2 linked regions of the Callithrix jacchus genome follow. The protein of the gene in region 2 interacts with the protein of the main gene of each other region in a pairwise test. Links are inferred from orthologs where the notes say so. Each region holds a gene or a part of one and is shown on either strand. Other genes may lie near its edges.

The links. The genes of interacting proteins can lie anywhere in the genome.
Region 1: the proteins of NAIF1 (region 2) and SOX14 interact in binary tests that used the Homo sapiens proteins (3 or more experiments, as listed by UniProt). The two-hybrid records come from large-scale screens. The link is inferred for Callithrix jacchus from reciprocal best matches to the Homo sapiens genes NAIF1 and SOX14.

Annotation. Positions count from the first base shown.
Region 1 is NC_133518.1:46,541,306-46,546,988, forward strand, and holds SOX14 (transcription factor SOX-14), read right to left. Parts: upstream 3,201-5,683; 5' UTR 2,725-3,200; coding exon 2,002-2,724; 3' UTR 1,171-2,001; downstream 1-1,170. UniProt on the Homo sapiens protein: Acts as a negative regulator of transcription.
Region 2 is NC_133502.1:176,681,571-176,687,593, forward strand, and holds the start of NAIF1 (nuclear apoptosis-inducing factor 1), read right to left. Parts: upstream 3,294-6,023; 5' UTR 3,051-3,293; coding exon 2,540-3,050; intron 296-2,539; coding exon 1-295. Other genes in the region: mitochondrial adenyl nucleotide antiporter SLC25A25, read left to right, coding at 4,346-4,603. UniProt on the Homo sapiens protein: Induces apoptosis.

The DNA.
Region 1 (5,683 bases), on a different chromosome or scaffold from region 2:
AAACACGTCTAATTGTTTTGAGGACAATATGCTAATCCGCGGGTTTCGGCTTTGGTGTCTGTTGACAACGTTTCCCTTGCACCTCCAGCCACCGACTCCTTTGGAAACAGCAGAGGCAAGCGCGCAAATCTCTTAACAGCAGCAGAAAGCCGACAAACCTCGAGGCTGCCCCACCTCCCACCCCGCAGCATATCAAAAGCAGTGGGAAAAGTACGCAAATTAAGGAAAACCACGCGTGAGCGTGACTCTAGGGGTGAGACTCCCAGACCAAGGGTGGGAAGCACCCTTCGATTTTGAGAACACATTCCAAAGAGTTTTGCTGGATGACATCGGAGGGTCCTTTCTCCGCAGGAAAGACAATAATCTTCAAGAAAACATTCACCCGGAGGGGAAGAAAAGGGCTCTTTTCCTTGTTTAACATCATGGGCTGCACTGTTTTTTTTTTCCTTACGATTTTTAAAAACTCCTTGCCTTAGCAAGTGACAACGTCGCTTTCCTTTTCCCTCTTCTCCTGCAGGGTCTCAGTAAAAAGTGTTCGACAGTCTGGGGCGGGGACCTATGGCACATTTTCTGCATTTCTTAGAGTTTTAGTTTTTAAGTTAGGAACCCAGTATCAAGCCCCGAATCCCCAGAGGGGTGGGCAGCAGCGTTTCCAAACACCTAAAAAAGACAAAATACCCGATTTCCCCAGTCTTTTCCCATGCTTTGAACTTAAACATCCACTACGGGACGCGGAGTTCAGCGCGCAACTGGTTCCCAGGAGACTCGGTGCTTCTCCCCACTCCTTCAGCGTTTGGTTTCTAAAAAAGTAAACTCACCCAGATCTCTGCAGTCTGGGTCCATCTTTGTCTTAGTTCATTCACTCCTTGAAGTGGCCTGACCTTTCCGGGAAGAACGGGCAGGGAGAGTGAAGTCCCAGGGACAGATATCTTTGTCTAGTCTCTAAAGGCAAAAAGCAATTTCCAGGACGCATTCCAGACAGATCCCAGACTCTAGGCCCTTCTACACCACACCGGCAGACCACCAAGCTGGACCAACGGCGGTTGAGGGGGCAGCCACCAGCCATCACTGCTTAGAGTCCCTCTTTGCACTTTCAGCCTCCCCGAACCCGACTTTCCAGCCCCTCCAACCTGGCTCCTGACTTCAGATTTTAGGCACATCAAAGGTTACTTTTTTGCAATGACAGATTGTCTTTATTCAAAACGTCTTTGTTCAACAAATGAACAGAGTAACGAGGTAAAATCCTTCTAGGTACATTTCCAAGACATTGTCAAAACATTTATGACCATTTAGGATCTTTTAATTCTTTTAACTTTTTGTTCACCTTCTACTTCCTGACTTCATAACCCGACATTCTGTCTAAAAGTAAACTTAGGTCTCTAGAAGCACTGCTTTACACAAAGTAAATAACCATGTAGGTCCTTTTTGTTTTCCCTTTAAAGAAGCAAACAGTATCATAGCATGGTTTTAAATAGAAATGTTTCCCTTTCTGTAGTTTAAAACTTTGAAGCCTTTTCCCTCCCACATGTGAAGAGCAAATGGCTCCTAGTTGTGTCTGATGCCAAAACACAGAGACACAGCTAACTCTTTTCTTCAGGGGACAAAAGGAAAAAAATATATGCATATTCTAGATATAATATCAGGATCTGAAAGTTCAGAGTCCAAAGCCTATTCGAGGAGAGTGAAGGGGACATAAATAAAGCAAAACTGCCTACTTTTTTGTCCAAAGGGGGTACAGTCGGAGATTTGTTTTGAGAGAGTCGGGATAGGGGTAGCTGTGTAGCTGTCACAACGTTTGCAAGTTTCTGGCACCTGTCTGCGCCTTGGGTCCAGGAGGACGCCCCTCCCTTCCCCCTGGAAGAGAGAGGAAAAGTCTGGGGTGGTGTCAGGGACAGCGGCAGGGCTGACCCCCGGAGGCGTCTGCAGGCCAGGGCTAGGCTCAGAGGACAGGGTGCAGACCCGGCTTTCAAGCCACCCTTCAGGTCCGGGCCGGGCTGGGGGTTACATGGCCGTGGCGTGGGCTGACGAATAAGGGTCTATGCCAGTCTTGGTCATGCCTGGGAAGAGGATGTAGGCGACGGGGGGCTGCAGGGTGGAGGCAGACCAGGCGGTACAGTTACAGGGCACCACGTAGCCGGGGTTGGTGGGGGACGGGTGGGTGTGCGTGTGCTGGCTGGGGCAGCTGAGGCTGCCGAAGGCGCCGTTCTGGTAGCCCAGGGTGGACGCGTAGGGCAGCGCGCTGGTGGCCAAGGTGTGGGGCACTTCACCCATCTTCTGGATGGCGCTCGAGCTAAACTGCGCGGGGTCCAGCAGGGAGTAGGGCGCCGAGGCCGGCGGCAAGAAGGCCCGGGCTTTCTCGGGCGCGCTCAGGAGGCCGTCGGAAGCCCCCACGGGCAGGCCTGCCGCCTTGAGCGGGTCCGTATCGCCCAGGTAGGGCAGGGGGAAGACATACCTGTCCTTCTTGAGCAGGTTCTTGGGCTTGCGCCGCGGCCGGTACTTGTAGTCAGGGTGCTCCTTCATGTGCTGGGCGCGTAGCCGCTTGGCTTCGTCGATGTATGGCCGCTTCTCTGCCTCGGACAGAAGCTTCCATTCGGCGCCTAGGCGTTTGCTGATCTCTGAGTTGTGCATCTTGGGGTTTTCCTGGGCCATCTTGCGCCGCTGGCCCCGGGACCATACCATGAAGGCGTTCATGGGCCGCTTGATGTGATCTGAAGGTTTGGACATGGTCCCGGCGACTAGGCGGGTGGGGGTAGGGAGTGCAAGGGTTGTGCAGACGAACCTGGGCGCGGTTGGCTGTCTGTCTGTCTGTCCGTCCAGAGCCGGGGTTCTGAGCTCCCCTCGCCTTGGCGCCGCTGAGGGGAAGCCAGAGAGAAGAACTGACCCCAGAAAGTTCAGCTGATCATGCCAGTCCCAGCACCCAGGCAGCCCCCGGGGAGCTAGTGGGAGCGGAAAGGGCGGGGGAGGAGAGGGCGATCGGCCAGGGGGCTGCAGGCACCAGGGGCTGGGGCCCAAGTATCGGAGTCTCGGGAATTAAGTGGCCAGGTAATTTTTTGGCCAGGGCAAGAAGCTCCTCCTTCTCCCCCTCTCCACCTTTGCCTTCTCTCGTTCCCTTCTCTCCTCTTGCTTTTCCAGTCGTAGCTCCCCCCTCCCGTGGCTTTCCTGGAGCTGCCGCGCCTAGCGCTGCACCTGGCTGAGAATGCGGGGAGGCTGGTGAACGACAGCCAAAAGCGGCGAAGTTCAAAGGCGAGGTGGGCCGGGACGGCACGCACTCTGACATAAGCGCGGGGCGGCGACTCCCCAACCTGGGCGCCAATCAGCAGCAGAGAAGCCGAGGGGGCGCACCTGCCAACACGCCGGTGCAAGAAAGAGGGAGCGCGACTGGTGGGGGCGGGGAGAGGTGTGAGGGACAGAGGCAGAGAGAGGGCGAGAGCAGAGCGGCTAGCTCAGGATTGGGGACTTGGGTTCCTCATTATCTCCGGTACTGTCAACAAATAAAACTCTTCGCGCCTCCCGTTTCGTTTCTGGTGGTGAAAGAGAATTAGGGCTTGGAATACAAAGGCTCGGGGAAGGGACAGCAAAGGGAGCTAGGCGAGACCTTGTGTTGATAAATAGGACAGCCTTGCCAAGAAATGCAAGGGCAGCACTTTCCCCCTTGTCAAAGATCCTTGGAAGAGAAAAAGAACATAGCAAGCTCAGGGTAAAAGCGAAATAAACTTTTCGCGCCCCACCCTCGGCAGTCCTTTGGCAGTGTTCTCCCGGGACGCCCCTGCACCTCGGCATCCATCTCTGCCCCAAGATGCGGCGCTTGGGCGTAGATACTGGCATCCTGGGTGGCTGAGCAGTGTTTTCTGACCTGCTGCCGGAAGGCCTCGCGTCCGGCAATGCAGATTTCGAACCTTGGTTGGTGAGCCCTTAAAAGCACTAAGACCTGTTCTTCACTTTGGGGGCGGGGGTGGGGCTGAGATTTCTATCACAGTTCTCATTTATGTTATTATTTGTGCCTTTAAACCTCCAACTTTCACTCCGCAAATGTTCAAACCGTAAGAACAGCCTGGAGGCTGGGTGTGAGGGTCTTCTGGGTGCCCCTTCTGCAGCGGCCCTAGAGAGGAGTCTCATGGTGTCTCTGCAACAAGGGTCCATTTGTCCCTGGGCGCCTCTTCCCGCTGCGAGACTCGTTTCTTGCGTCAGATGAGCATTCTTCGGGTAAAGAGGACGAAATAACCCGCAGAGCCAACCTGCGCGCCTGTTTCCTTTGAATAATTGCCTGCCCGATGTGAAATGCCCTTGGGGGAAATATTTATTAAATGGAAACCATTGTCCCAGGACTGGCGGGACCTGCGTGTGTTCCAGGCTTATTGGCTTTTGCACCAGCCTCTCTTGGGAAGACCGGCCAGAAATGCGCAAGGCTCCGTTAGCTCCGAGGGGCTAAGAGTGGGGGAGGGTGACAGGGAATGAGGAGACCTGAAGGGAGGGTCTTTCTCTAGCATATAGTATATCAAGTGTGAGGAGAAGACTTTGCTTCTCCTTCCTACAATTAGAAAAATGCGTGGAATTTCTCACCCTTGGTGCACTTTTCAGAGGTGGGCAATATTGCCATTTTACAGATTAGGAAACTTAGGTTGAGAAAGACAGGTGATTTGTCAAAAGTGACTCCGGAGTCATGCCAGATGTATGGGATTTGAAAATCCCGATTTTTACCCCCATTCCACCTGGCGTCACATCTAGGGATTTTATGGGGCTGCAGCTCAATGTGGAACACTTGATGAAACTATTAGGGCAATCGAGGGTGATCGACACCTGCCATGCAGATAAACCACCCTGGAAGGCTGATCCTGCACTTGATTGCTTAGCCACGGGCTCCACCTCCGAGGGCTGGCAAACAGGTGCACAGCCTTTACATTCCTTCCCAACCCCAGCTCTGGCCTTTCTCCAGAGCCTCTATCCAGCCCTCTAACCTTGTTTTCTCTACGGGCAGTTTCATTTAGCTTAGGGTCTCAGGAAGCAAACGCACTTTTCAGTCCAGTCTGGCAAGGGTTTCCAAGCGTCGCTGGCAACTCCAACTCAGGTCTGACCAGCGGTGCGCTATGCTCAGAGCCAGTCAGGGATAGGAGGTTCAGGAGCCACCTGATTCTAATTCTACTGGATGATCACGACGGCTTTGGGAAGGAATGAGAGAAATACTGATTATCTGCAGCGAGGCCCAGCGTTTGGAGGGGGCCTGCCAGTCTCTCATTCTAGAACCCTTAGGGGACACCAAACGCATACCGAGAGGTCTGGGTTAATGCAAACCAAGCTCTTGGAAATTGTTCAACAAGGGGATCTGGCACAAGGTCCTACACCCTTTCTCTCCTCTCAGCTTCCAGGACAATCCTTTCCAATTGTCCGGAGGCGGCTGGGGGCAGGGGAGCGCCTTCCTGCAATTCCTCTGATTTCCTTCTCCTCAAACGCCCGAGCTCCTCTCCAAGATTCCTGTGTTCAGCCTTAGGTCGCAATCCAAAAGCTATTAGCAATGCGTAGCAGAGTGATACGAAGGGCGTTTGATGGCGGACAGGGCGCCAGCTGATCTCCCGAAGTTTCGGAGACCGGGGTTGCCTGGTCCCGCTGCAGTGATCTAGGAGGGGGCCAGCATCTGCACTGCGCGTTGAGACAAGAACTCCGTGCGGGGAGGGAACGCAGGGTTGAG
Region 2 (6,023 bases):
TCCTGGGCACAGGCCTGCACTTCCTGGGAGCGGCGGATCATCTGCAGCAGGTCGTTCTGCTGCTCCAGGTGCTGCGCGATCTCCTTCACATGCAGGTTGGTTACTCGCTGCTCCTGTATCAGCTTGGCGGAGTTGAGGGCAATGCGGCTCTTGAGCGCCTGCGGCTTGACTGCCGTGTCTGCATGCTGGGCCATCATCTCCACGGGAGCCTCTGGCGGCAGCGGCGGAGGCGCCTCAGTTGTGCAGTACTCCACCACGCCCTCCTCCAGGGTGTGATAGGTGGTCTCTGTGGGGACTGCAGGGTAGAAAGAAGAGGCTGAGGAAGGTCACTTTCTAGAAGGAATGAAGCTGGCTGTATAGGGTGGAGAGAAGGCCAGAAAGTCCTGTCCTGGAGCGACATTAAAGGAAAATCCAGGCCTCCCCTGGCTGCATAGCTATTCACATATAAATCTTGAATCTAAGGGGTTCAGAATCTTAATGTACTTGGCAATCAAAGGGCCAGCCCTGGATCTGGCAAAAGTGAAGATGTTGATCATAATACTAGCAAAACTTTCAGAGCAACTACAACATGTCAGGCACTTTGTACTCATTAGCTCAACAAATCCTCAAAATGACAGCAAGAGGTAGGTGCTGTCATTTTCATTTTCCAGAGATGAGGAAACAGACTGAGAAATGTAGACTGACTTGCTAAGGTCACAGAGCTCATTCGGCAGAGCCAAAAGGCAAACCCAGGTCTCCCAAACAGCTGAGCCCTGATCTCCATGCGGGGCTGCTCCTAGCTAAGGCACCTCGGAGGCTGGGTCACATGCTCCCTGTGGTGCCAGTGCAGTAGGCATCTTGGGTGGGACTCTACACATGCTCTTTGCCACTACATTAGTCCTACCTCCTTTCATGCTTGCTTTTTATTTATTTATTTTTGAGATGGATTTTTGCTCTTTTGCTATGTTGCCTAGGATGGAGCGCAGTGGCATGATCTCAGCTCACTGCAACCTCCACCTCCTAGGTTCAAGTGATTCTTGTGCCTCAGCCTCCTGAGTATCTGGGACTACAGGTACCCCGCCTCCAAGCCCGGGGAATTTTTATACTTTTAGTAGAGACAAGGTTTTACCATATTGGCTAGGCTGGTCTTGAACTCCTGACCTCAAGTGATCTGCCCACCTCGGCCTCCCATAGTGCTGGGATTACAGGCGTAAAACACCACGCCCAGCCCTTTGATGTTTTCTTGACTTGACTTCCTAGTCCCCTGTGGCCAAGCAGAAAAGGAGGTGGGAATGGGGTGGTGGCAGCTAAAGTGCCCAATCAATGTTTCCCTCTCTCTTTCATCATCTGGGTCAATGCAATACTCAAACATCCTTCCTGATCCAGAGTAGCATCTGATTTAAACCCGTGTTTGTCCCTCTTACCCACCCCAACATATTCTTGAGAAATACGCATTACAGGGGGATGGCACTCACACATCCACCCAGCTCCCTCAACCCCTACTAAGAATCACTGATGGATCCAGCTCACAGCCATTACAAACAAGCAGAGTTAACAGTCACAGGCACAAACCCTTCTCTGAACTAAAAAAATCCAACCAAAGTTAGTTCTGTTGTTATTTCTAGCTGAGAACCTTGAAAAGGATCCTAGCTGGGCTGTTTGGGCCTCCACGCATGTAGAAGAGGTCAAGCTCCTACACCCTTCAATGCCAATGTCAGCTACGTATCCCCATGCCACCAAGAAGCCCCCTTTCTCTTTTGGAACCTTAGGTTTTCCTAACTGATGGTGAAGCTATTCCTATATATGCCATCTCTGTCCTACTAGAACATAACTGGCCTGTTATTTTAGACAACATGGTAATCCCAATGCCCAGTACAGGGTTTGGTACAGAATAAGTGCTAATGTTTGATGAATGAATGAATCAATGAATGAGTAGATTAACAACAGGAACCATGAGGCTCCCGAGCAGCACCTGATCAAAGTTCCCTGGCACTGAAAACACAATCCAGAATTGTTGTCTCACTTGGGCAGCATTATTCCCATCTATTTTTTCAACAAATACGGCCTGGCTGTCTACTACATGCCTGGCCCTGCAAAAAGTCCTGTGGGGATACAGACATGGTCTCTGTCTTCAAGGACCACCCAGTTTGGCAACTGGAGGTAAGTCATGGAAACATGGTGACAATGCTCAATGGCGAGCTATCCAGCACATCAGAAGTCCAGGCCACATGCTGAGGAAGTCCCTGAGAGAGCAAGATCACTTCTTTTTTTTTTTTTTTTAAGATGGGGCTTCACCATGATGGCCAGGCTTGTCTTGAACTCTTGACCTCAGGTGATCCACCCACATCAGCCTCCCAAAGTGTTAGGATTACAGGTGTGAGCCACTGCGCCCAGCCTGCAAGATCACTTCTGTCTGGGGTGCTGCTCTTGGAAGGCCTCACGGTCTTCCAAGACCCCCATCTGACCTCTGACCCTTGGCAGCCAACCTTCCCCAGGCCACCCCAGAGCTTGCTGGCCCTTCCCACTTATGCACGCCGCCTGAACAGGAGAGGTCACTCACTCTGTGTCAGGGTGACCGTGGCGGTGGCTGCGGTGGCCGAGGGTCCGAGGGCCACGGGGTGGATCTCTGTGGTGCTAGGCAGGCTGATGATGGTGGCCTCACCCAGCAGGTTGCAGATACGTTGTTGCATGGGGGTCAGCAGCACGGGGGCTACAGCTGGGCCACCGCCGCCACTGCCACCGCCTGTCCCAGGCCCCCCAGCTCCGTCCTCCTCAGTGGGCCCCGGGGCCTCGCCACCCTCCACAGCAGCCCGGACCTGGGCAACCTTACGACGGACCTCGGTCTTGAGGTCAGACCACTTCTTCTTGACCTCAGGCAGCTCCCTGCGGCAGGTGGCCACGGCGTTGACCCTTCTCAGGATGCCGTGCCAGGCCGCGCTCTTGGCAGCCAGGGGTACCCCGGCGTTGAAGTGGTTCACCAGCAGGTGCTTCTTCAGCTCCAGCTCCTCCACGATGATCTCCACCTCCCGCTCCGAGAAGTTCATCTTCCTCTTCTTGGCTGGGACTGCCATGGCCTGTCCCCTCCCCTCTGTTTAAAGAAATTATAATCCCCTCAAGCGCCCCAATTCCCCTACTCTTCTTCCTCAGCCTCGCCCCTCACCCACCCCCTATAGGGGGATAGGCCGGGCTTGCTCGAGGCCAAGCACTAGGCCTTAGGTAACCCTCCTCGCTACGCAAAGTGCGTAGGGCCCAGCCCCAACCGGCCCGGCCGCTGCCAGCCAGCTGCGTAATGGCTTCCTGAATCTGCCTCTTCCGCCGGGGTGTGCGGAGATCCGCCCACTTCCCCTCTTCCCGCCTCCCAGCCCTTCTGCGGGAGAACCCGCCCTCCCGGTGGGGCGCGGCTCAAATATCACATCGATCACTGGTTCTTTCTGTCTGTCGCTCAGCTAAAGAGCACGCCTACTTACTGGAATTAGCCTGATCTTTGGTCTAAAATTGTGTCTGTCGTCCAGAGCGCCCCGCCCACCTAAGCTTAATTCACTTTCATTGGGAAATCATTCTGTCGTTCAATTATCAGTATTATGACTATTAAGCCGTTAAACTCAGCTATTTTATTGATGGTTTACGGAGTTAGATTACCAAAACCCTGCTTCCTGAGGATACTTAGTGCTTTCGGCCGTGAGCTGTGAGTCAATTAATTTTTAATTCCTCTCACCGGCACAAACTCCGCCTCGCAACTGCAGTTCATAAATGCTCTCACACAAATCCTATTTCCCACCGGAGGCTACGATCTCTCCGTACACGACCGCTCCTCCCATCTTTAAGATCCCATAGTCTAAACAGAGTTCATCAATGGAAACTGGACACGGGGTCTTCCGCCTAATCATATGACTTCTGCCTATCGCTGCGTAATTTTTCCTCAATTTTTTTTCTCTCTCTCTCTCTCTCTCTCTCTCTCCTTTCTCTCCTCTCTCTCTCTCTCTCTCTCTCTCTCTCTCTCTCACTCTCTCGTCTCTCGCTCAGCCAATCACCGCCTCCATCAGTTTGAATCGGCCCCAGGCGGAACGGGATGACCCCGCCCACCCCATTAATCCGGGTAGTTCGGGGCGCTGTGGGCTGTTCTTAGTCGGCTCCGCCCCTCCAGGGTCTCCGTCCGAGCCTGTGATTGGCCTCGAGGATTCTGGGGGCGTGGCCTGTGAGGCAGCGCGCGGGAGGGGCGGGGCTCCCGGAAGCCTCCCCTCCCTCCAGCTTGCCGGCGTTTCCGAGCCCGCGCTTGCACTTCCAGAGTGGTGCCCGGCGTGCCTTCCGCGCCGTCCCCGCCGGCCCGCCGCCCCCGCCCGCGTTCAGAGCCCCTGCCTCGCACCCGATGGTGAGCAGTGTGTTGTGCCGCTGTGTGGCCTCCCCGCCGCCGGACGCCGCCGCCGCCGCCTCCTCGTCCGCCTCGTCGCCGGCGTCGGTGGGGGACCCCTGCGGCGGCGCCGTCTGTGGGGGCCCGGACCACCGGCTGCGCCTGTGGAGCCTCTTTCAGACGCTCGACGTCAACAGGGACGGCGGTCTGTGTGTCAACGACCTGGCGGTGGGGCTGCGGCGCCTGGGACTGCACCGCACCGAGGGCGAACTCCAGGTAGGCTGCGCGCGCCCTCGGCACTGCCGGGAAGGGAGCCCCCAGAGCGCTGGGTCACAGGTGCGGCCGGGCCGCTGGTGACAGATCTCGGGGGACGGCCCCTTGGGCTGGGTGGGACCCCCACTGTCCAGAGGAAGGGTGCCCCTGACAGAAGGACACCCCACTTATGCCCTGGTGGGAGTGGGGCTCCTTCCTGACCTGTTTGGGTTCTTGGGCCGGGCTCTTTGTGGACACAGGTGGGCACCCTCTGGGCCTTCTGATGGGCGAAAAGCCCTTTCTTGCCCGGGCTTTCCCCAGAGCAGAAGGCCAGGTCTCAGGAATGTGCCTTTGTCACCTCCTGACCTCAAGACCAAGCTCGACACTCCCTTCACCCATGGATGATGGGTTCATCCATCAGTCCTCAGCAGCACCTCCTCCTTTCCCTCTCGTTTCCATGCCGGCCTTAGGCCCCGATCTAGTTCCTCTCAGGAGCATGTGGGAGTTGAAAAAAATTGGTATTGGGGTTTCAGGCAGATCCGTGTGGACGTGGGCGGCGGAGACTGACAGTTCTCATGGTTTAGGCTCATCTCCATTGCCCTGTTTATCCAAAAAATGGGATCGTGATCCCTGCGGGTTGGAGTGATGATAGAGTGAAGGAATCTGGGGGAATTTTTTTTTCTAAAAGTCAAAGCGGGGGAAAATGTAAGAGGCGAGATTGTCACTGTTGTGGGCTCTTGGCCAAGGTAGGGGCAGAGGGGCACAGAGAAATGGTCATCCCTGGGCCTGCAAGGAAGTGAAGTACTGGCCTTTCTGTATAAAAAGCTCAGAGCAGAGGCTATTTCTTTTCCTTCTGTCTCTTCCACTTCAGTCCGACTTGGCAGGTGTAGCTGCCATTTTCCCAAGTATTTCATCTACTGTAGCTTAGCCTGATTTACAACCTGGAACCTGGAATAGGACTCCTGAGTACTTTACCTAAGAACCTGTTTCTTTGCTGAGTTAGTTTGGTCCATTTGTACACACAACAATTAGAGAATCTCATAGCCAGGTATGCAAAGAATCTGGTAAACCGCCAGTGAATTAAACCCATTTGTTGGGTGGGTGTACATAAAGTGTTGTTAACTCATGTTCAAGATCTCTTGAGTCAACATCCAAGATATTTAACCTATTAGGATCAGCCTAAGAAGACCAAGATTAATGCTATGCAAGAGAGAATCAGTGAGCTAGGTCCAGGACATTTAGTTAAGGCCTTTAGCGTTAGTTACTTTGTTTGTTTGTTTGTTTGTTTGTTTTGAGATGGAGTCTGGCTCTGTCCCCCAGGCTGGAGTATGGTGGTGCAATCTCAGCTCACTAAGCCTCTGCCTCCCGGATTCAAGAGATTCTCCTGCCTCAGCCTCCCCAGTAGCTGGGATTATAGGCACGCACCACCACACCCAGCTAATTT